Pelodiscus sinensis: one gene and its partner. The protein of the gene in region 2 purifies or fractionates together with the protein of the main gene of each other region. This does not show direct contact. Links are inferred from orthologs where the notes say so. Each region holds a gene or a part of one and is shown on either strand. Other genes may lie near its edges. The genes, in order: VPS33A and VPS41.

Region 1 (12,216 bases), on a different chromosome or scaffold from region 2:
CATACAGCATTGCAGGTGCAGGGGCTGGTTATTTAGACATGCACAGAACAAATTAAGTTTTGGAAGAAATAAATGACCTTGAGATAAAGTCCAGAGCCCTCCTCCACAGAGCAGAGAGACCTTAACAGTGAGAAGCATTCAAGAGGATAGGAAAGATAATAGCTGGTGCCAGGAGCTACAATGAGTAGTTCAATTACTCCTTCTGGAAAAACCACAGCTGTAACACTCCAGCCAGCAGCCCAGTAACTGGACTGGAAAGCAACAACATTCATGTGTACCAGCAATGAAAAGAGCTGGTCTCACAAGCAGCACAACTCTTCATCTTGCCGGCTCTATCCTCAAAGAATTAATAATTGCTATTTGGGAATGTGTTATTTTAGAATCCTCTAAGCAATGTGCTGCTCCATATGTAATGCTGCCGAGTAAGAGCTGCAACAAAAAGTCTCTTTCCGGTGACTCAAGTCAATTAGAAAATGTGTCACCAAGCTGGCAAGTTTTATCATGTTCTGACAACCCCTCTGCTGCTCACCCAGGGCTTGAGTCAATACATTAACAAATTGAAAGCCTCACATAGATTTAATTGGCATTACACGTGCTGTGCTGGTGATGCAGGATACAGACACAGCACTGTGGCCCATCTTAAGACAAGTGTTAAGTCTTTGTGCTACTATGGTGTGTGGCAGCCTAACAATTACACTTACCATTTTGTCACACATTTGACAATACATTGGAAGTTCTTTGTAAAGATTACCCTCACAAATGCTGTTTGTACAAGTATTGCTCACATTATTCAGATGGGGAAACTGGCACACAACACGGCCTAAAGTGATTCGTTCTGAGGTGCATCGTGGCAGTCAGAAACAAAGCCCAGGAGTTCTAACTCTTAAGTGCACTGTTCTACCAGAATCTGACCACATTTGCTCTATAGCTCCTTTTATTGCCTGGCAGCTAATCCATCTGGAAAGTGTTGAGATCCTTGGGTGACGACACCATACAAACGTGCAAAGTATCATTTTTCTCAAGGGAAACATCAGGACTTACTTTAAATGCAGTTTCAGACTCCATGGATAGCAAGTCTCCATCAAACGGAATGAGGTCCAAACTGTACTGCTCTCGATGAATGAAGGACCCCAGTACTCCCTGATCTTTCAACCGCTGTTCACACAACAAGCTGCGACGGGGCACAAACAAAATGTGGAAGTCCCTCTGCGGAGAGCGAACTCTGTCTTCACTGAAAGAGACTCAGCTTAAGTTGTCATGCGTATAGAAGCACAGTACATGCTGACCATGGTTACTCAGACTGGCAACAGAGAAGATGTGCTGCTTAGACAAAGGAGCAATAAATGGAAGTACCCACATTCCTGGTACTTTCTAGTTCCTTATTAATAAAGGCAATCCTGCACACAGCCCTCATGTTGTACAAAATGGCTTAAAGGCTAAGCAGTAGGTCTGTGGGCTAAGCAGCTTGGCAAGATGTATGCTGCTCAGAACCACAGGTTTGAATCCAGGGCTGGATTACCCAATAGGCAGACTAAGCACATGCTTAGGGCACCAGCAAAGCAGGGGCACCAAAAAAGATGAGATTTTTATGGTATAGTATTGTTTTTATTTTGAATTACATATGGGGGGGGGGGGGCACCATAATCTTTTCAGTGCTTCAGGTCTTAATCCGGCCCTGTTTGTATCCCAAACAGAGTTGCCTTTACTTTTTGCAGTTGACTGTGGGTGGATCGTTCAAACAAGAACTGCCTGCCAAGGAACCATTCATGTTCAATTAAAGAAAACTGAGTAGAGTCTCTTGGTATCTTTAAGCAAAAAATTCCCCCTCTCCATCTTGTTGCTATGCACCTGCTTCTCAACCTCCAATCCCAGAAATGACTGCATTCAAGTGGTGTAGTACCTATAGGTGAGGATTCTGATCTTAGTCCTGCCAAGTTAAGTAGCTGTTTCACACTGAAGTGACAGATTAATTATTAGTGAGTAGGCCGAAATCTACCCTACTTATTTCATTTACTACTGACACCTGGTATGAACCTGGGACAGTGGGGAGGCAAAAGGGGGAAAAAGAAAACATGAACCCCACTAAACCATCACAGCTTTGAGTATATAAGAATAGGAAGGTAAGAACAGCCATATTGGGCCAGACCAAATGTCTTCTGACAGTGTCCAATGCCAGGTGCCCCAGAAGGAATGAACAGAACAGATAATCATCAAGTGATCCATCCCATCACTCATTCCCAGCTTCTGAGAAGCTAGGGACACCATCTCTGACCATCCTGGCTAACAGCGACTAATGGATCGTTCCTGCATGAGTTTATCTAGCTTTAAAAAAAAAAAAAAAAAAAAAAAAAAACACTGTTATAGTTCAAAAATGGCCTTCACAGCATCCTTGAGGAAGAGTTCCACAGGCTGATTGTATGTTTTGTGAAGCAAAACTTCCTTTTGTTTTAAACCTTCTACTTATCAAATGAAATGAATGACCCCATAGTTCTTATGTAAAGAATAAATAGCCCTTCATTTACTTTCTTGATACCAGTCCTACTTTTATAGACCCCAAATATGCCCCCCATCTCTTTTCCAAGTTGAATAGTCTCAGTCTTATTCACCTCTCCTCAGACAGAAGCCATTCCATACCCCTAATCCATTTTTTGCCCTTTTGTGAACCTTTTCCAATTCCAATGTATCTTTTTTGACATGAGGTGGTCACATCTGCACACAGTATTCGAGGTATAGGTGTACCACGGATTATATGGAGGTAATATATTTTCTGTTTGATTAACCCCTTCTTAATTATTCCCAATATTGTTTGCTTTTTTGACAGCCACATACACACTGAATAGATGTTTTCAGAAAACTATCCACAAGAACTCCAAGATCTCTCTCGAGTGGTAATAGCTAATTTAGACCTCATCATTTTATATGTATAGGTGGGATGATGTTTTCTGACGTGCATTACTTTGCATTTATCAACATTAAATGTAATCTGTCACTGTGTGGCCCAATCACCTAGTTTTGAGATGCAGCTGTTGCCTTTCCACTGAAACACCAACTATACCTGAGCACATTTTCAGCAATTATGTCCATTAATTCTAGCTTGGGCCTGACAAAGAAAATAATATTCTTGACATCAGCAGGTGGCAGACGTCCCGCCTTGAGGGTGAACATCTTCTCCACCTCATGTTCCTATGAGGAGACAAAAATGATATTCAATCAAGAGCTTCTTGTTATGCTGAAAATTGGTTTCAGAAAGGGCTACATCAGCTTAAGTTACCCAATCTGCTATTTGTTACTCTGATGCCTTATCAAAGGACAACAACATGGAATTAATCTTCTATTTCCACATGCTTATTATGCAAATTATTAGTTTACTGCGTTACACTATCATTAAAGATGGAGGTTCGACATACCTGGTCTGTAGGAGGAAAGTTGGCAGAAGAGCAGTAAGCGATATTCCAAAAGGAATATCTGCTATATGACAACACCTTAGCCCAGCAAATCATGGTAAATTTGAAAGGCAAACTCTAGGACAGTTTATAGAAATTGTGCTAATGGCTCTAAAAGCCATTAAGAGACTGAGGGTCCAAAGAGCTTTTTGAAATTTCAGTCTTAATAAACACAACATGGATGTCATGTAGACCTTACCTTTAAAAGCGAGTATTGCGCAATTAATCCAAAGGGTCCTGTGAGGTATTCATCCCACACTATTGCCTAGGAAGAAAAAAGCCTCAGAAAAGTCAGTTTACACAAGGAAGAAAGAAAACTCTTACTGAAGGTGATACGCTGCTCAAACATTTGTTTTGGGAGAAGTTCCGATTTTAAGTCAGTCATGAATTACTGGGTGAATCAGAGGAGCACAATGTACTTCAAATACACTCATTAAGTTTCCCAAGAGATGTTTACTAAATAGAAAAAAAAAATCAGTGAATCTAGCAAAGGAGACAGACAAAGGGACTGGGATGGCTGGACACTGGAAGAAATTTGGTGCAGCCACACAGACAATGCTGAAGACTATGGATTTCCACTCAGATCAAGTCAAGAACCTGAACCCAGTGACATGGTCACTGTCCGTCCATTTATAGGGCTGGTCAGAGCATTATGTGAGCTTTCTATCTGCCCTAGTGAAGGCAAGTGAAAGGCACTTCCTGTGCAGTGACTTGTACTCCCAGGCTCTGCCTCTCTTACCCCACAGAGGCGGCTACATTTCAGAGATGCTGCACACCATGGATGTAGTGTGTAAAGCTTCCAAGAGTTAACACCCCAGGGCTGCCACGTGGGGGGGGGAGCAGCCCCGCAGGGGTCTCAGACCCAGGCAGCGCAGAGCAGGGCCCGAGGGTTTTGGAGCCAGGCCTGGGGGCAGGGACCCGAGGGTGAGCGGGACGGGGGGAGGCGCAGTGGGGGGGCTCAGAGCCTGGGGAGAGGCGGGCGGGCGGGGGGGGTCTCGGAGCCGGGGGCAGCGGGGGGCGGGGTCTCGGGGGCCAGTCCCTGGGCAGCAGCTGACGCCCCGGGGGGGGGGGAGGGGCGCTCCCTCACCTTGGAGCCCGCGCACTTGTCCAGGAACTCGCGCAGCTCCCTGCGCCCGGCCTCGCGCAGCGCCGTCAGGTTCACCCGGCCCGAGCTCAGGTGCGCCGCCATCCCCCGCCAGGCCCGGCCGATCACCTGACACAGCCGGTCACGTGACCCCGCCAGGCTCTCCATTCCTCCCCCCGCCCTCCACTCAGACCCCGCCTCCTAGCGCCTGGGCATCAGCCGGCTATAAACGCTGCCCCGCAGCAGCCACGTGACCCGGTGACGAGGGCCGTTACAGGCGGGGCTTGTTCTGCCCAGGGGACGTGGTGACGAGCGCCGCTGCGTCCTGGGGGGAGGGGCTGGAGTAACTGGCGCTGAGGAAAAGGGGGCGGGTCAATCGTTATTACAAAGGGCGCTGGGTGGCAGGTGGAATTCTGCACTGACAGTCACAGGGGTGCACGTGGGGAACTATAATCCCAGCCAGAATGAAACAACATGGTCTCAATTAGCTGTTGCATCAAGAACAGAGCTTGGAGTCACTGGGAATAGTTCATTGAAAACATGCTCAGTGTTCAGTGGCAAGCTAAACAGCTAATAGACTATTAGAAAGCGTTAGGAAAGGAAGGGATAAGAAAATATCCTATTGCCTCTACTATAAAGTCACGGCATACCCACATCTTGAATACCACATGCAGCTCTGGTCAGCCCATTTAAAAAGATGTATTGGATTTGGAAAAGGTACACAAAGGGTAACAAATGTTTAGGCATTAAAGAAAAGCTTCCCTATGAGGAGTGATTAACAAGACTAGGACTTGGAAAAGAAATGACTAAAGAGTGGAGGGATATTTTGGCAATATAGAAAGTCAGGAATGGTGTGGAAAAATAGAATAAGGAAAGGTTATTTATTCCTTCACTAATCTAAGGTCACCCAATGAAATTTACAAGCAGCAGATTTAAAACAAACAAAAGACATTATTTCTTCTTAGTCAACCTGTGGAATTCTGCCAGGGAATGTTGAAAAGGCCCAAACTATAACAGGATTCCAATAAAAACAAAGTAAGTTAAAAAAGGATAGGGCAATGAATGGCTGTTAGCCAGGATGGGCAGGGATGGTGTCCCTAGCCTCTGTTTGCCAGAAGCTGGGAATGGCCAACAAGGGCTGGATCACTTGATTACATTTTCTGTTCATTTCTGGCATTGGCCACTATTGGAAGACAGGACACAAGGCTACATAGACTATTTGTTTGATCTAGTATGGCCATTATGATATTCTTATATAGAACCCTGATGTAGCAACTCCCTGCTGTAACCCACTAGACCCCACTCCTCTCCCAGAGTTGAGATGGAACCCAGGAGTCCTGACTGTGTGCCTCTTTCTCCCTGCAGAGTCAGTAATAAAGAATATACATTAAATTTTAAGCCTAGCTAGTGACCTTTAAGAGACCTGCCTCACAAGTTCATATAGGAGCTGAATGGTTTTAATATATTTTTCTTTATATAGGAATTAAAAACAATGCTCTTGTCAGCTCATTAGTAAGTTATCTGCCAAAAAAAACACAGAGTTTTCAAATGCCTTAATAGCTCCTGGAAAGAAGTGATTGATATGTGTGTGGGGGGGAGGGACGAATAGGGTTGTTCTGCCCCACCCCCCAATTTACTGCTTAGCTTGTACATAAGAATGGCCGTACTGGGTCAGACTAACAGTCCATCCAGCCTATTATCCTGTCTGTTGTCAGTGGCCAGTACCAAATGCCCCAGAGGGAGGAAACTGAGAATGATGAATAACACTACTGAACCTGCTGTCCTCACTCTGATCCCCCCACTATCACTACATGCACAGGTTCCCCCCCCCCCCCCCCCGCCCACTAAAATCTGAAATTGCATCCCTAGGTAGGAGCCCTGTGCTGGAAGGAGTAGGGGAAAAGGGATCCTGGGTAACAAGAAGCTGGAAGGAGGTCCTGAGCTAATAACTGCACTGGAGGGCAGATACTGCTGTAATGAGCTGGGAGTATTGGGGTAACTGCACCTGCCCTCTGGGTGATATGGGAGAAACAGCAGCAGCACTGAGAAGGGGGAGATACTGAGGTAATAGCACCCATGGGGCAGGGTTTTTACTGGAGTCTTGGTCTTGGGGCTGATTTGTGCTTAAAACATTGTCACAACGGCTATGTCATCTTGGAATGAAACAAAGTGCATCCCTCTACTATATAGTTATGTCTGGCAAAGAGTTGTACACACAAGGGGCTAGTTCCTGATAAAAAGGTAGGTCAGGGCTGTTAAAAGCATCTCTGCTTGTGTGATAAGGTGACCTAAGTTTTATTGTCACCGTTGCTAGGTTAACTGAAGAATTTCTGTGGCAAAAATGCCTACTTACACTGGGGTAATATGCTTTTGGTAGAATAGCTTATACCATTTCTCCAAACCAAATAAGCTATAGCCCAAAATTAACTACTGATAAACTAATAGTAATAAATCACATCCGAAGTGACAGTTGTACTGCTAAACCTTATTTCATTACCAGTATAAGTCTCTTTATTTGTTAAGATGGACATGTGATTTTTTCAGGATCTCTTGGAGATAAACTAAAAGCCTCATAGTGTACCACCACCAATACTGGAGGTAACATGGAAAAAACTATGCTAGTAGTCTCCTTAAGCTCTGTAAATAATAAATCTGTCTGATCGGTAAGTTCCAGCCATAGAATCATAGAAATATAGTGCTGGAAGGAACGTCAGAAGAGCTTATTAGGCATTGCCCCTGCACTCAGGTAGAACCAAGAAAATCTGGCCAGACCATCTCATGGCTGATCTAATTTTTTTTTAGCTTTCCCTCATAAGGCAAATTTCTGAAAGAGGTGAGTGGTTCCAGCTAAGACCATTGCTTCTGATCATCTCTGATGTCCCATTTTAACTTGATTAGAGGAGGGGCCCCCTTTGTGTCATAACTTATATGTTATCATAAGCCTCAGTTGCATATAACTCCTCATTTTCTGTCTCCCTCTGCTAGCATCTGCTTCATGCATGGGAGCCTAAAGTTAGGTACCTAAACAGAGGTGGCCAATGTAGCAAGCAGCATAATAACTGTGGGTATGTCTACACTACCACCCTAGTTCGAAGTAGGGTGGTTAATGTAGTCATTTGACGTTGCAAATGAAGCCTGGGATTTAAATATCCCGGGCTTCATTTGCATCTTGCCGGGTGCCACCATTTTTAAATCCCCATTAGCCTAATTCGAACTACCTACTCCATGCCGTGTGTAGCCGCAGGCACGGAGTCCGCACTAACGGGGATTTAAAAATGGCGGCGCCCGGCAAGATGCAAATGAAGCCCGGGATATTTAAATCCCAGGCTTCATTTGCAACGTCAAATGACTACATTAACCACCCTACTTCGAACTAGGGTGGTAGCGTAGACATACCCAGTTAGATTAAGGGCCTAACACTAACCTCCACTTTTGAAAACACTGGTGGTAGCTCTTAACTGCCCCTTTCCTTATGACATGCCACTTCCTGAGGACGCACTTTCTGAAAAGTATTGTAGGATGCTAGAGATGCTATAGCAGCATTGGGCAACCGGTGATCCGTCAGAGTTCTGTATGTAGCCTGCAAGACATTTTGTTTACCTTTGTCCAGATACAGGGTTGCCAGAGTCTACTCGTTTCCATCTGTGCAGTTCCCCCCCCCACACACAATTTGTATTACTGAAGTAACAACCACATGAAGTGAGGCATGTGCTGATTGCACACAACAGTGACTGTAGAAGCCATGCAGTCCCTCTGTATCCTGTCAGAGCACTGCTAGGGTTCAGTCGGCACACTGCAAATTCTAGGTATGTAAGCACAGTTAGCAAAACTATCTTAACTTGGGAAACCATCATGGATACAACAGTCTTGTGGCCCACTGAGATGGAGGGCCACTCCTGTGGCCCACTCCCTAACTTAAGATGCCCATCACCGGGCTATAAGTCAGTGATACTCTGAAATCAGTGGTTCAGGAGCCAAATTAGTGGTCAGCATTACCTAAGGGAGCCACAGTAGTGTGAATTCACGTATCATTTTTGTATTATAATTCATAGCAAAATGACTGACCAAATATTTTATCAACTACAATTGGTTATTAACATAGTAAACATTCTTATTGTTTAGTTAAATTACACAGCATTTTAACATGAGCTGAAGGTGAAACATCAAGTCACATGTGAGACTCAAGCCTCAGTCTGAGTGTCATTGCTCTCTATGCCTTCTGACAATTCCTGCTCAAGCAGGCTTCTTCATGCATCCCTCTACCTAAGGTCTCTCTGCTGAGTCTTACTGCATCTCCCCATTCTGTCCAGGTTCGTTACTATCCAAAAGTTCAGCAGGTAAAAATACAACAGGACAGCATTGTCATAATTATGAGGGTTAGCCAGCAGCCTGGGGATTAAGGGGTTAACTACACCTAGCCAGGTGGAGTGACCAGTAGGAATGTAGGTGGGATTTTCAAACTGGGACAAAGGATTTTGGGTTCTTTCCTTTCTCCCTTTTGTCTCTGAGAGTCCTCTGCAGCTACATAGAGGGACAAGCAGGTCTTTCTCTCCAAGAAACAATTCTTCATTTTCTGTAAGTAGGGTAATGTTTAAGTAGTTTCATTAGGCTTTATTGTTTTAAGGGTTGGGTATGGGATCTGAGATCTGGCACTGTTTAAAAGATGTTTTGGCTTTTCTTTGTAACTAAGCTCTAGGCCCATGGAGTTTCTCCATGAGTATATTTTGTCGCCTTTCCATCTCATCCTTATGCTTGCAACATGAATATTGTTGTAATAATAAAAGTTCTCTTTTCTTTTTATTAACCTGGCATTGGTTACTTGTGTGTCCTGATTTTTATAATGGGGTGAGATTTCCCAAATGATCTTTCCCCTAATCTCGTTATCAACATTTGGGTGGTGGCAGCGGAAGTTTTATTCCCAAAATCTAGGTTTTTAAGATTTTTGGGGAAGTTTTATACCAAAGCCTGGTAGATAAGGCTTTGGGGTACACTTGCTGGCCCCCACTTCTGCATTTATCATGCCAGAGTGGGGAAGGAGCCATGACAAGCATGTTTTACAATCCTGCTGTATTCTAGAGTGAAGCTTCCTGACAACAGGGAGTTGTTTTCATGACAGTTTCCTTCTGCAACAACACAAGCTCTGTATCAGAGGCAGCAAGCTTGTGTGAAGCCAACTGAAAAGCCAGCTTCCATGTGCACCAGCTCCCATCTGTCCCCCTGCCCCTCCCCTCACTACTCCATGTCAGAGGCAGTGGGGTGTGCCAAAGCAGCTGATACATGCTGGCTCCCATGCACCGTGGTACTGTTGCCTCTGCAGCAGCATTGGAGGGCGGGTAAGGAACTTCCCAGAAGCTGGTGCTCATGAGGAGCTCCCACTGCTGCCTCTGAAATAGGACGAGAGAGGGCATGCTTCTTTTAACAGTGTACTCCTTTACCCTTTCATATCCATAATCCGTGGTGAATGTTTAGCAATAGTGCAACAACTTTCAAACCTCCCTTATGTGAAATAGACAAGTGACCCTGATGAAACCGATGAGGAGGTGCCTTAGAGTGTGCAGATCTGTCAAGACACAAATAATTATTAATTAAATACAACTAGGAGGAGGACAGTAGTGCCTACAAGCCCTCATGCAGGGGTCTAATGTGACATGTATTTTACACATACAGCATTTGCTACAGCAGCAATGGGCAACCAAGAAGAGTGAATGGGCTGCATGAGTGGCTATCCAGTTCAGTGGGCCCTACTATTCTCCCACCCTCCCAGCACTTTTGGAGCACCACATCATCTGATTCATGCTGCATCCCGCTCCTGCCCAGAGCTGGAACAGCCAGCGTGGGGCTCCAGTGCCCCAGAGTGAGACACCCCCACGAGGGAGGGGGCAGATAGAGGGTTCACAAGCTGCAGGTGGAGTCTCAGTAGGCCACATGCGGCCAGGGCGCTGCTAACCACTGTGCTAGTGTTTAAATCCACTGCAGTCAATTTCACTGAAATTTAAAATCTATATAATAAATGTTTCTATTAAATTTGTAGTTTGCAATTTTTTGTAGAAAGCTTAAGTTTTGATCAGTAAATCAAAAAGCTTCACTGCTATCTACTGACATTCCAAAACCTATCTTCCGTGAAAGATAAGCAAATCTCACATAGCCTGTCTACATTAAAAATAAATAGGTTCTAGTACACATTTGGGGCTCCAACAATCCAAATGGAAATTTTCTTACCCCAGTTTCCCTCCTTGTAGAATAATCCCACACAGTCCAGAAAGGATGGGGTCTTTCCCTGTGGGATTTGGTCAGGGCTCTAGAAACATTACCCATCATTCCGTGCCACTGGAAGAACTCTTCCATTTATCTATTTCTTTTTTATTTCTAAGTAAGTGCCCCTGTACATTTTCTGAGAAATAGCAAGAATGCAAGACAAAGATGACAAGAGAATAATCATTTATTAAAGGAGATACAGTACACATTTCTTTAATTGATTTCCCTGCTGTTGTTCCTATTACTATAATACATTCATTACCCCAAATTTAAAATGATTACCAAAGATGTATTTTATTTCATGTACCAGACACTTGGTTGACGATCTTGAGCAAAAAAAATACATGAACAGTTATATAAAAGAGTAAACCCAGATACTGTATATTGTACAATAGCAATATAGCAGGGAAGATGCAGGTTTTTTTATTTTTATTTTTTTTACATACGCTAAAAGACATTTGAAGAAGATAGATTTAAGCCATCTGAATAAATTATTTAGGGCCTGATGGATCCACCCTTGCTCATGCTGAATGTTTTCTTACTATGAGTAGCCCCTCTGAAATTAATTTAAATATCTGTGTAATAAGGTACATCTGAACATTAGTATAAGACCATGTTGCATTCTGATAGTTTCACTTCTTCATTCCTTTTTATGTTTTTTCTTATAAGAAAATTCACAATTATTGAAGTTTGAATTTTCCATTTTACATTCATCTGAAAACAAAACAAAAACCAGGGAAAACATATAATGAAATAATTAGCATAAATGCTTCATTCCCTATGGACTTGACTGAAAACTTCCTAGAGGACACACATTTGCTGGAAGATTTTTTTCCACAGGAAACACAGTAATAAATATCTCCCAATACTGAGGTGGTTTTACATTTTAAGTCAGCAAATGAAGTAGTTACGTTGTACTGTTTATCTCAAACAAATTTTTGATGAGTTCTAAGAAAATTTAAAATTGTGAATGAGAAACCTTTTTTCCAAAATATAATTTTTAATATATATGTATATATACACACACACATTATATAGGTGAAATAATAAAAAAATGATGTCACAAATGATAGTTAAGTGTGCACATCATACAGGTTTTTAAAAATTCCCCACAGTAGCTTATGTTTTCTTACCTGCTTCATGATTTCATAAATTTCAGACTGTAGTCCAATAGAAAGAAAGGCACTACGTATATTTAGGTAGTGCACAGAACTCATGTTCTTTGATCAAGAGCACAGCAAAATAGTTAATGAGTAGAAGAAAATCAAGATGAAATATTTCTCAACTCATTCCAGTGTCAAAAGCTTAAAAAAATCTAAATATACAAATGCAGCCTTAAAATCTTAGTGCAAATATGAAAATTAACAGCATAATTTTAAGGTATTTAAATAAGCTATAACATAACTATAATGCTTTGTTCCTATAATTTGTTTC
Region 2 (11,367 bases):
TATGACTATATGGTTATTGTGTGTAAGTGGTGGATGCTGCTGCCCAGGAAATACTGTAATAGCTTTCACCCAGTCAAAATGTCCATTAAGGCTCAAAATATCTAATCATTGTCATATTGGTTCATAGATTGTATATACATTACTTACAAATAGGTCAGATGTAAGCATAGCCTATTTATAAAGAAGATTTCCTTTTACACATATGCAGGCAGGTTCACTATTTACATGCACAGCTTAACTGAGATGAGACACAACTGGAACCACTTTTCTGAATCCCTTTCACAAATAAGGAATTTTGGAAATCAGAGAAAACCAGGCTGTGTTGGACCCATCCAATTATACAAAAGGCAAGGTTTTGCAAACCAGAAAAATATTTGTTTTTTGATTATTAATTTGTATTTGAAATAGACACTGATTCAACCTGAAACCATTTGTCCCCTCACTAAATGTTTGAGACACTGAACTGAATCGTTCTGGGTTTTACAAAATGAAAACATGGGCAATAAAAATTTAATAAATCCAAAAGGAAGATCTTTCCCATTTTTGCCTGTTTCTTCCCAACATTCAGAATTAAATCTTGATTCTCTATAAAAAGTGTTAGGGAACAACTTTTAAACAGGGAACCAAATAAACCAATGCAGAGAGAGGAAGTAGGGCATCTATCTTCTGGAATTTGATAGTTATATATTCCATGGGCTGAGAGCTTCATCTATGGGCTGCTGTTACAACCGGTCTACAATGGACTGGTGGTTATTAGTTCTTGAATCCACTAACTATATCCTCCATCAGTCCTCAGGCTTGTCAACAAATCCCTGCTCTGTGGTCCCTTGGAAAAACCACCAGGTCCTCAGATCCATGAGCCTGAGGGATTTCAGAGTTTCCCTGTAAGGACTCTTCATTTCCATTACATAACACAACTGTTGTGGCTCTGCTGGTTTTGGGACCTGGCTGTCACTGTCCATCTGTTTCTCATATATATTTGTTTCTTACCTTGTGAGACAAGAATCATCTCTCCTTCTTAAGCTTACCCTCTGCTCCTTTCTGTTTTTAAAGTGTTAGGTTTTTAAGAGGACTCAGAGTGCCCCTTTCAGCTTAGCCCTCATTTACCTTTAATAAATAGATAATTGTACTGGCTTTATGTCATTTACTGTTCTTCATACTTTTTCATTTTCTATATAAATTTATTCTGATAATCGTAAAACAAAAAATAGATTGGGGGAGGGAATTGATGAAAAAAAAAATTCCCCTAATTTTCCTTGAGTATTTGAAGACAATTCAGAATACTTTTGAGAAAACTTAACTGCAGAGCACATAAATCAATGGGTTTAAAGTATAAGTAACAGAAATCATGCTCTTATCCATGCCCTTCTCTTTTGCAGTAAATGTTGATTAACAATTTAATGAAATTATTAAGTACCATGTAATGGTAGAACATGTGTATCATAAATGCTCCCACTTTTTACCTCGTCTTTTTTAAATGGTATGATTACTTTGAAATCTGTTTAAAGAACACAATTAGTATAGCATTCACACACTGTATTTTATTCAATTTAACACACATGCATATATACACCTGTGATGCCAACAGTACTAAAGTGAAAGTCAATGGGACCTTGGTCTACTATGTCACTTAGATCCGTTTGAAAATGTTATCCTAGAACATTAACTCTGAGAGAAATTGTTAAGTTTTTTAGTATAAAAGTCATGGGATCATATGGCACTTTGTGATTATAATGTAATGGCTATGTGCAACATTAGATGGTGATTCTGTAAAGACTTACATATAGACTTAGCGTAACACATATGAGTAGTCACATTGAAACTTAACTGCTTAAAGTACACAAAGTTAAGCATGTGCATAAATCTTTACAGGATCAGGGATTTCCCTAGGGCCAGACTGTGATAGCCTCATTCCCACTGCATTGCATATTATCCCGTAAGTACTCCCATTACAGTCAATGGGAGCAATTGTAAATGAAGGTGCTACTGAGCCACAATCAGTATTTCACAATCTAACCCCTAATCATAAAAGAATATGTGCATAATATTTCTCATTTGTAATGTAAAGGGTTATCACATCCTTTGTGAAATAATTTTTTTTAATCTCATAAAACATATATTAAAGTGAACTAAAAAGTATTAAAAGAGGATGGTAGGTGGGTGGTATTTCAAAACAATATAATGCTACCATGTGAAATACAAACATTTTATGAAGCATGCAATTTTGTAAGAAGCTCAAGGTTAACTTCATAGAAGCTAGGGTTCAATTTGAGAATAGACTCACAAAAATAATTCTTTGATGGTATGCGATAAAGAAAAAGACTTTGCAAGCTTCTTTGTAAAATCCAAACATACACCAAAAAAAAAAAAAAAAAAAGAGAGAAAAGCCTTTGAACTTCTATTCTTTTGATGACAGTATTAGCTTCGTTTTATCAGGCTTAAGTGTTTTTAAATGCTATTAAGTCATAGACATTTCTTAACAATGTGAGTGGTGGTGGGGGTCGAGGGAGATAACTCAGCTGAAGTTTGTTTTATTTGAATCAGTCCTACTTGAAACAGACTAAGTGCTCTTAGCACCAGAGACACATCAATATCTAGGAAGTGGTACGGATACTTGCAATTACCATGTTTCAAGGCAGAGAAAAGGAAAGCAAAAACCCAAGATCTGCATTCTGGTGGTGTTTGGAATTTGAACATGGATCAAGACCTATATTGCAATGACAAATCCGATCTTTATAAAAGGATAAATAAAAAAAACTAGACAAAAATTCATCTGTACATTGGAACATTTGAAATCCAGCTTTGTAATTGAATACTTGGTAGACAGCACATGATCTGCATTCTTTTAGGTGACCACTAAGGAACTCCATGGAACTGGAAGTTCTGTATTACAAGAGATAGTACAAACTTTAAAAAAATCCAATTGTGATAATGTTAAAACCCATATTTGAGTATCTTATGAAAACTGTGCGCTTTTTTTTTTTTTTTTTTTTTTTTTTGCTACTAGCAGTACTGCCAGAGTATTACTCTGATTCTAAAAACATGCTTAAACCAAAACTTGATGTGTTTGGAATCTGAACCTGCATCCCAAATGGCCCATATTTGTCTAACTGGCTGACCCAAACCTTCACACCCTCACTTTTGTAAGCATAGTGTCCCCAGCACCATGAAGGAAATGTATGCAATGGTAATTTCTGTTGCATGTTTTAACAGGATACAACATTTGCCCTGTACAGCATTGCCTTTCTATTTACACTAAAATGTAGGTAATAGGAATGTGGGTGAGTGAGCCTTACTGAGTGAGGCTTACCAGTTCCAGTTAACCAGTTAGGACTGGAGCAGCTCCCCACCTGCCATAGGAAAGGAGCTGCCCCGGCAGCCCCTGTCCACCCTTTTGCCCACTTCTTCTTTAATTGGTTTATGGGTTGAACATTACATTTAAACATAAAGTTTGACCAGTTAACCAATTAAATGGGATTTTACATCCTTACTAAGTATTTTCTTTCTAAATGTTGATTGAGAATGAAAGATGCTCTGTAAAGGCCTAAGTCTGACAGATGCTGAATGCCTCAGGTGCTGAAGACATTCAAATCTCATTGATGACCTTACAAGCGAATAGTTCTCAGCATCTCCCAAGAGGCAGAATCAGGTGTTAAAATATTAAATTTGCCTGATACAATAAACACTTGTAATTATGGTAGATTGAATTCATACCTTAAGTATGAACAAACAAAAATTAGTTTTGTGCTTTTCTGCCAAAAATAAGAACGAAGAACATTGTAAGTAAATTACATTGTTTATACCACTTATTCTATGTTTGGTCAAAATAAGAACAGCTGTTATTTAACTGCTTTCTCTGTGACAAACATATTCTTTTATGTGTTAAAGAACCAAAATTTGCCAGGTCTTTGTCATTTTCATAGCAAACATTTAGCTTTAGGCATTTATAAATCAGTTAATAGTATTTATTTACTTTAAAATGCCACATACTTTCAGAGAGTATGAAAGCTTATCCATTAGATATTTGATGAAATCTCTGGCCCCAAAGAAGGCAATGAGCAATTTGCCATTGATTTTAATAGGGCTAGGATTTCACTGTGTATTCCCAGATTTTAGTAGATGTAATTGATTGGTTTAAAATCTACACAAGAAAAAAGACCCTCTTGGTATTAAAACAACAAGAAAAGATGGTATATATTAAAATACTGACATATGTTAGGGAGAATATTTTCTGATACTCTAAAGCCAGAGTATGCAACTATTATGTGGACATGCATCCCTTAGAAGCATATGAACACTTTTGTGCAGGCTCCAGCCCTTAGTCCGAATTGGTTTATTTCAGTTAAATATATGCCATAATGGAGATTAGGTAAATGGCCTGAGTTATGCCCCAGAATCTCATGCAAGGGAAATCACATATGTGTATCACACCAACCCAAAAAAGAAGGGTTTAAACTATAAAATGTCAGCTTGGCACACAGTATTAAAGACAATTAAAAATATAAAGCTACTTGTGAAAAGTAGCAGGGTTATTCCTGATCAGTTGTTGAAAGACTCTCTCTTTTCCTTTATGAGATTTTAAATATTTTAAAATTGCTTCTACTGTAGACCTGTATTGTAGTCAACTTGCTCATGCTTTTGCTCCATCTTCCATTATACATTAACAGAACTGTAAAACTATGCATTATAGATCGACACAGGTAATAGAGAGACTCCTTTAATAAGTGGTAAGAGCTTATGTTTTATGAGAAAAAAAGAGAGTATTCTTCCTACAGTAGCTCTGACTGGTCACTATGCCCCAAAGCGGTGGGCAAGTGAGTGAGACAGCTATTAGAGGGGGTCTTCCCGCAGGCAGAGCTCAAATTTGCTGGAGACTGGGAGCTTTACTTCTTTTTACTGGCCTCTTGCTCTAGCCCAATCAAAATCCTATCACCTGTAAAATAAAATAAATAAAATAAAATAATAAAATAATAATAATAGGAATTGGCAATACTGGAAGAAGGTGATTTTGGTCCCCGCTTCAAGACCTCTGATTAGTGAAACCAACTGAGAGCTGGGTCTCAATGTGCTAGACTCTCTTCAAACATGTAGACCATGTCTACCTAGCCGGGCAAAAGTCAAATTAAAATACACAACTTCAGCTGTGTCAATTGCGTAGCTGAAATAAAAATAGCTTGAATCGGCTTTTAGAGCTATCTACACAGCAGAAAGTTGAAGGAAAAATACTCTTTGTTCGACTTCCCTTACTCTTCATGAAATGAGGGTTACAAGAGTCGGAGTAAGTAGTCCTCCACATCGACATTATTTTGAGATAATGGCTTGCTGCGTAGACGTGCATTTTGTTATTTTGAAATAACGTCAGTTATTCCAAAATAACAGTTCGGTATAGACATAGCCATAGTAACAATTTTCCCTAAACTGAAGAACTTGCAATTCAATGCAAAGCACGGTGGTGGGTTTGAGAAATGGGATCTGTAACTTCTCAACATCATTTTATGTGGGGCTACTAAACTTTCATTAGTTAGCAACAGCTTTTAATTCCTATGGAACTGACCAAGATTCCAACTCTCTCCATTATATTTTAAGTCTCCTAACTGGTATTTTTCGTTAAAGCCCCAGCTTCTGGAATCATGTCAATTCATCAGGCTTTCAAACTTTCATTTTTAAAGAGGAGGCACTCATGGTTGAGGCAAAAAGCATGAAAATGCCAAGTTCAAATTGCTCAATATTTTTAAGACGGGGGGGGGGGGGGTTTCTAGCTGCTAATTTTTTCAGTGGTTGGGGCTGGCAATGCTCTGTCACTATTATTGTATGGTAATGATGCACAGTACGAAGAGCTGGTTTTGCCTGTCCTTAAGGCAAGCACAAACATTAAACTCCCTTATTAGTTTGTAAATGTGCTTAATTCCCTCCCCTTCCCGCCTCCCAGCAAGGGCATGGCAACACAGGTGCAGATGCCCGCCCGCCCGCGCTTTGCCAGCTCTAAGCCCAGCAGAGGCAGAGGAAGTAGAAAAACTACGTTACCCAAACTGCCTCCGCCGCCCTCTGACTTTCAGGGGCCTCTCACATGACTGTCAGGCGGCTGCACCATGGCGGAAGCAGAAGCGAAGGTAAAGGCTGGGCCAGAGCAGGGAGCACTGAGAGCTGCACAGGGGGAGTCCTGGTGTTTGCTCCACGCGGAGGAATTAATCTAGGGGAGCGGAGAGGCCCATGCGCTTGCTCACTGACAGAGAGGAAGCGAGAGCTTGATGGGGGGCGGCAGCAGGGGACGGGAAAGTGGGGAGAGTGTTGTGCGGGGCACGGGCAGCAGGAGGGGGTGGAGATTGGGGAGGACGCTGAGGGTGCAGCAGTAGGATAGGTCAGGTATTGTAAGGGACAGCAGCAAAACAGGCAGGAACTGGGGGGGAGAGAGGCGCCGAGAATGGGGGAGCTGATTCTGTATCCCCTATTTGTAAAGACACCAACCTTGTGTAGGCGCGAAGCCATTTAAAACTGAGCTGGAACTCTGCTTCTCTCCGTCGAAGGTTCAGAGTCGTCACGTTCTCTTTCACCTGTGTGTACACAATAGCGTAACCCCCGAATGAAAGAGCACGGAATCACACGTCACACTACTTGGACATTGATTAAGATATTGGCTATTAAATACCACTCGTGTATTAGGTGGTTTTTTTTGTATCAAATTCCTACTGATTTTGGTGGCTATAATTTGTCACTTTAACTGTTTAGTAATGTGTCCGATCAGTTACTGGTATCAATCAGTTGTGGATTATGAGAAGACAGTATTAGCATTTCTTATATTGTTTTAAAAACAAGATTATTGGTGACTTGTGGGTTGGACCTATTTTATATAATATATATATATACACCAAATAAATATTATTTGGTGTGTGTGTGTGTGTGTGTATACACCCCAACTATTTGCTTTAAGTTATATTTATAATGCCTCATATTATACTATATGGGGACAGTCCTCTTTTTGAGAACAGTATTGTATAGGGAAGTGTGTAGAATTTGTCCATAATTTAAAGTCTTTCATAGCCATTCCATGGTATAGGTCAGAACTATGCTTTAAATCAGGGTTGGGAAACCTTAGGCCTAGGGGCCAGATGCAGCCCCCACCTTGCTTGCATCTAGCCCTTCAAGGCGTGTTCTCCCACTTCCCCCCCATTGGGGACCCTGTGCTTGCACTCCAGTCCCCCTGCTGCCCCATCGCAGAGCTGGAGCACACAAAATCTAGATGGGCCTCTCTAGGCTCTGGTGTGCAAGGAGAATGTGGGGAGTGTCTTTTTTTTCTTCTCAGTCAGGGTGCCATGTCAGTGAGGTGGGTTTTTTTGGGTTTTTTTTCTGCTTCTCACTTGTTTGTGGTCCCCCACTCTTGCTTTAAATTTTTTATCTTTTAAAAACAACTTTTTTATAGTCTGACATCAAAGAAGAGGGTTTAAATCTTTGCAAGACCAAACCAATGTTTGATATTCATTATTATGTGTATCACAGGACTATCAAGTGTCATCTTCATTGATAATTTCTGTTTCTTGAAAGGGATACTAAATTTGTAATGCCTTAGGATTTAGGGCAGAGGTGGGCAATACATTTTTAAAAGGGGGCCACTTCATAAATGGTTGAAGTGGCCCTGGGCTGCCCCAGAAGGGGCAGGAGACTTCTCCCACAGACCCTGATTGGCCTGGGGGTGGGGAAGCTCATGAAGTCATGTCCTCCCCCCCAACCCCTTGCTTAGAGAAAATTGCCAGCTGTTTTAGAACAGCTGGCATTTCTTTTTAAGCTCTGCAGTGGGAGGAGACCTCGCACACTCTCCCTAGCCCCAGACCAATAAGGACCTGGGGCTGGGGGGAGTGCGGGAAGTCTATTGCCCCCTGCCTTGCCAGATGTGTACGACAGCTAGAGAGAAATGCTGTCTGTTTTTAAAATAGCATTTCTAGCTGCCGTGCACCCTTTGCGAAGGTTAGGAGGAGGAGACTTCATGTGCTCCCTCATCTCCAGGCCTGGAGTGGCTTGGCAGCGGGGGAGTGGCAGGGCAGCCACTGGCTGGGTCCTGTGGTGGTCCCTTTTTCCACCCTTGATTTAAGGCAATCTCTTAACTATTGCACATCAGGGTGAAACCCAGTGAGGTGTGGAGGTGGTCTTGTAGTTTATCCCATTTCTGCCTGCTGCTGGGTTCTTTCCCCTAGAATTATATAGTAGTGGAATGCTGAACTACATGAATCCACTATGGTGATTCCTGTGCATGACTGAAGCACATTTGAAGTGAATCCAGGAGTCAGCCTGTGCAACATTTGTGCTGCAGAGCCAAATTCTGCTGGTCTCTGCGTGCAGCAGTTTTAGAATGGGGCCTTGTCAATTGGTAAAAGTACATGACTCTGGAAGCGAGTATTACTGTAATAACCTTACAAATAGTGTAATCATATATATAGTAGCCCAGTGTCTGAGAGTCTGTAATGCTGAAATGCTGGCTGTTCCCTCTGGGCAGCCTGTGCTGCTTGCTCCCTGCGGCGGCCCGGCTGAGCAGTGCAGAAGTCAACCTAGCGCCACGGCGGGAGGGGAAGAGGGGCAGGGCAGTGACATACATGGCCGGGGGCGGGGCCTGGCCATGTACGTCACCGCCCCGCCCACCTTCGCCTCCCGCCATGGCTCTCGGCTGACTTCTGCGCCACTCAGCTGGGCTGCCATGGGGGAACCTAAACGGACGCTTGCTCCCCTGTAGCGGCCTGGCTGAGCGGCGCAGAAGTCAGCCAAGCGCCATGGTGGGAGGCAAAGGGGGGGGCGAGGTGGTGATGTGCGGCATGACAGCGGCTCCAGGCCCTGCCCCTTGGCCGTGAACGTCACCACCCCACCCCACCCTCCTTCGCCTTCTGCCGTGGCGCACAGCTGACTTCTATGCTGCTCAGCCAGGCTGCTGCGTCCCCCGAGTGAGAGGCAGGAGGGGGAGGAGAAGGAGAAGAGAGAGACAGGAGGCGGAGGAGAACTGGAGGGGGGGCGGAAAGGAGGAGTACATGCACGTGCACACACACACACAGAGACAGACAGACCAGAGGCTCAGGAGAGAAGACTGACATGGAGGAGAGACCTGAAAATCCCATCTTATGACGGGCTAATTGGCTAGTGGGTAATATTATGTATTTATGGTCCAATCCTGTCAACACTGTATAGTCAGTGGGCTCGTCTACACTGGCCCCTTTTCCGAAAGGGGCATGCTAATTTCACAGGTCGTAATAGGGAAATCCGCGGGGGATTTAAATATCCCCCGCGGCATTTAAATAAAAATGTCCGCCGCTTTTTTCTGGCTTTTAGAAAAGCCGGAAAAGAGCGTCTACACTGGCCCCGATCCTCCGGAAAAAAAGCCCTTTTCCAGAGGATCTTATTCCTACTTTGAAAAAAGTAGCGGACATTTTTATTTAAAAATGCGGAAAAAAGCGGCGGACATTTTTATTTAAATCCCCCGCGGATTTCCCTATTACGACCTGTGAAATTAGCATGCCCCTTTCGGAAAAGGGGCCAATGTAGACGTAGCCAGTGGGATTACTCCTGTGCAGTGTGTTACACACTTAAATGTGGGCAGCGTTGAGACCTAGTTTTAATGTATTTTACAATAAACTTTGGGAGATAGGATTTAATGTCAGGGTAGCAGGTGTCAGCACACAGCTAATTGCTATGTGCAGGCTGCTTCACTTCAGAAGATGAAGAATGCAGAGGTGGAAGAAAGAAATGAGCCCATCTGAATTGGTTGGAGAGATTTCCTGCTGGAAGCTGAGGAATGAGTACAGGGTAGGATGGGATATATGCTGGGAGTCAGCTGAAATTTTGGTTGTTCTAGGCCCTCAAGTCCTCTTTTAATGTATGTGTTACTTCTAAGATGGAATGTTCTACACATATTCGCTCTATAGTATTCGCTCTATTCTTTTAGCATTTATGTGGTTCCCTTATGTGAGACAAGAATAAAATAGATTTAAGAAAAGTTTCCTAGCTCAAGTGTAGCAGTTTCATATGCTATAAGTATAATTTGTTTAAAGCCTTCAGAAAATTGGCTTTTCCATATCTACTCCACTGACACACACATACTTTTTGACAGACTATTGGTGGGTGGGTGTGTGTGTGTGTGTTTTAAAGGGTTGGAGGGGCATAAGAGAGCTTAGGAGAACTGTTTTCCCAGGATTGTATACCTAAACATGCAGAAGTTTAAGTTCTCTGGAGGAGGCCGATCCTAATGTTGGTATTTATAGGCTGTACCCCTTCTGCAATGTTAAGGATTTTACCGGTTGAGACTGTTTCTCTTGTGTTCTCTCCATTGTCTGTTACTAAAACCAATAATTAGTGGATATTAAAAAGAAACAGTCAAATATAAAAGTATCATTAAAATGCTTATGGTCTATTAACAAACACCTTTGGTTATTAAACCAGTCTAAATTAATTGTTTGCACTTCTCTCCCTTTCAGCTGTTATATGAGAGTGGTCTTTTCACTTTTACATGTAGTGACCGGTGTTTGAGTTTCCATGCATGGGAGAAAAACTATAAATAGTGTGTGTATGCAGGTGGACTTTCACTGGAATTTAAGCTTTTTGATTCTCCTTCCCTACATATCTAAGATATGGGCCTTAAGTCAGTTAATGGCAACTGTTTTTAATATAAAGGAAAAACCCTCCCACAATGTAGATCAGGCCTGGGCAAAATACGGCCCGCCAAGCCACCGGATCTAGCCCGGGGATGCGGCAGGCAGCCCTAGGCATTCTTTGCCCCACCCTCACACTCAGAAAGGCAGCTGCTGGGAGGTTTCACTTTAAAATCTGTGAGCCTGAAGGGGAGGAAGGAAGGCTTTAGGAAACTGGCCAGAAGCACCGTGCCCCCTTCCCTCCGAGGCTCCTAGTTATTCACAGAGGACATGGCTGCAGCCTGTGTGGAGACAGGGCAGGCAGAGAGGCTGCTTCAGGAAAGTGCTGGGCTACTGACTGGTAAGTCTCCTGGCCAGAGCCTGCCTCTGGCATCCCGGTCTCTCCCTCCCCCAACCCTCTGCCCCCCCCCCCCCCCCCCCACTCCTGTCCTCTACTCCATATACCCAAATTCTCTGCCCCCCTGCTGCATGCATATCCCCTCCCAGATCTGGTACCCCAGTCCTCTGCCTCAGATCACTCCCCTCCTGCCCTAGTTTACAACCCAACCCCTTGCACCTCCTCCTGTACCCCAGTTCCTTGCCCTAAGTCACAGTCCAACCCCCTGCACTCAGTCCAGTGCCCCAGGTCACTACAGCCTCATTCACCAAAACTTCTTCCCTTACTCCAAGCTCCCTTCTGCACCCAACCTCCGTCTCAGACCTCGCACCTTCTCCATTAATATCATGGAAGAGTGCCGCCCTCAAC

Evidence for each region.
Region 1: the proteins of VPS41 (region 2) and VPS33A purify together in Homo sapiens (affinity purification with mass spectrometry; 5 studies listed by BioGRID and IntAct, counting the BioPlex papers as one, with this or other methods). This does not show direct contact. The link is inferred for Pelodiscus sinensis from reciprocal best matches to the Homo sapiens genes VPS41 and VPS33A.

Annotation. Positions count from the first base shown.
Region 1 is NC_134725.1:33,615,497-33,627,712, forward strand, and holds the start of VPS33A (vacuolar protein sorting-associated protein 33A), read right to left. Parts: upstream 4,689-12,216; 5' UTR 4,633-4,688; coding exon 4,531-4,632; intron 3,709-4,530; coding exon 3,643-3,708; intron 3,184-3,642; coding exon 3,056-3,183; intron 1,232-3,055; coding exon 1,042-1,231; intron 1-1,041.
Region 2 is NC_134712.1:167,504,541-167,515,907, forward strand, and holds the start of VPS41 (vacuolar protein sorting-associated protein 41 homolog), read left to right. Parts: upstream 1-6,074; 5' UTR 6,075-6,089; coding exon 6,090-6,110; exon of another isoform or gene 6,111-6,190; intron 6,191-6,465; exon of another isoform or gene 6,466-6,586; intron 6,587-11,367. UniProt on the Homo sapiens protein: Plays a role in vesicle-mediated protein trafficking to lysosomal compartments including the endocytic membrane transport and autophagic pathways. Acts as a component of the HOPS endosomal tethering complex.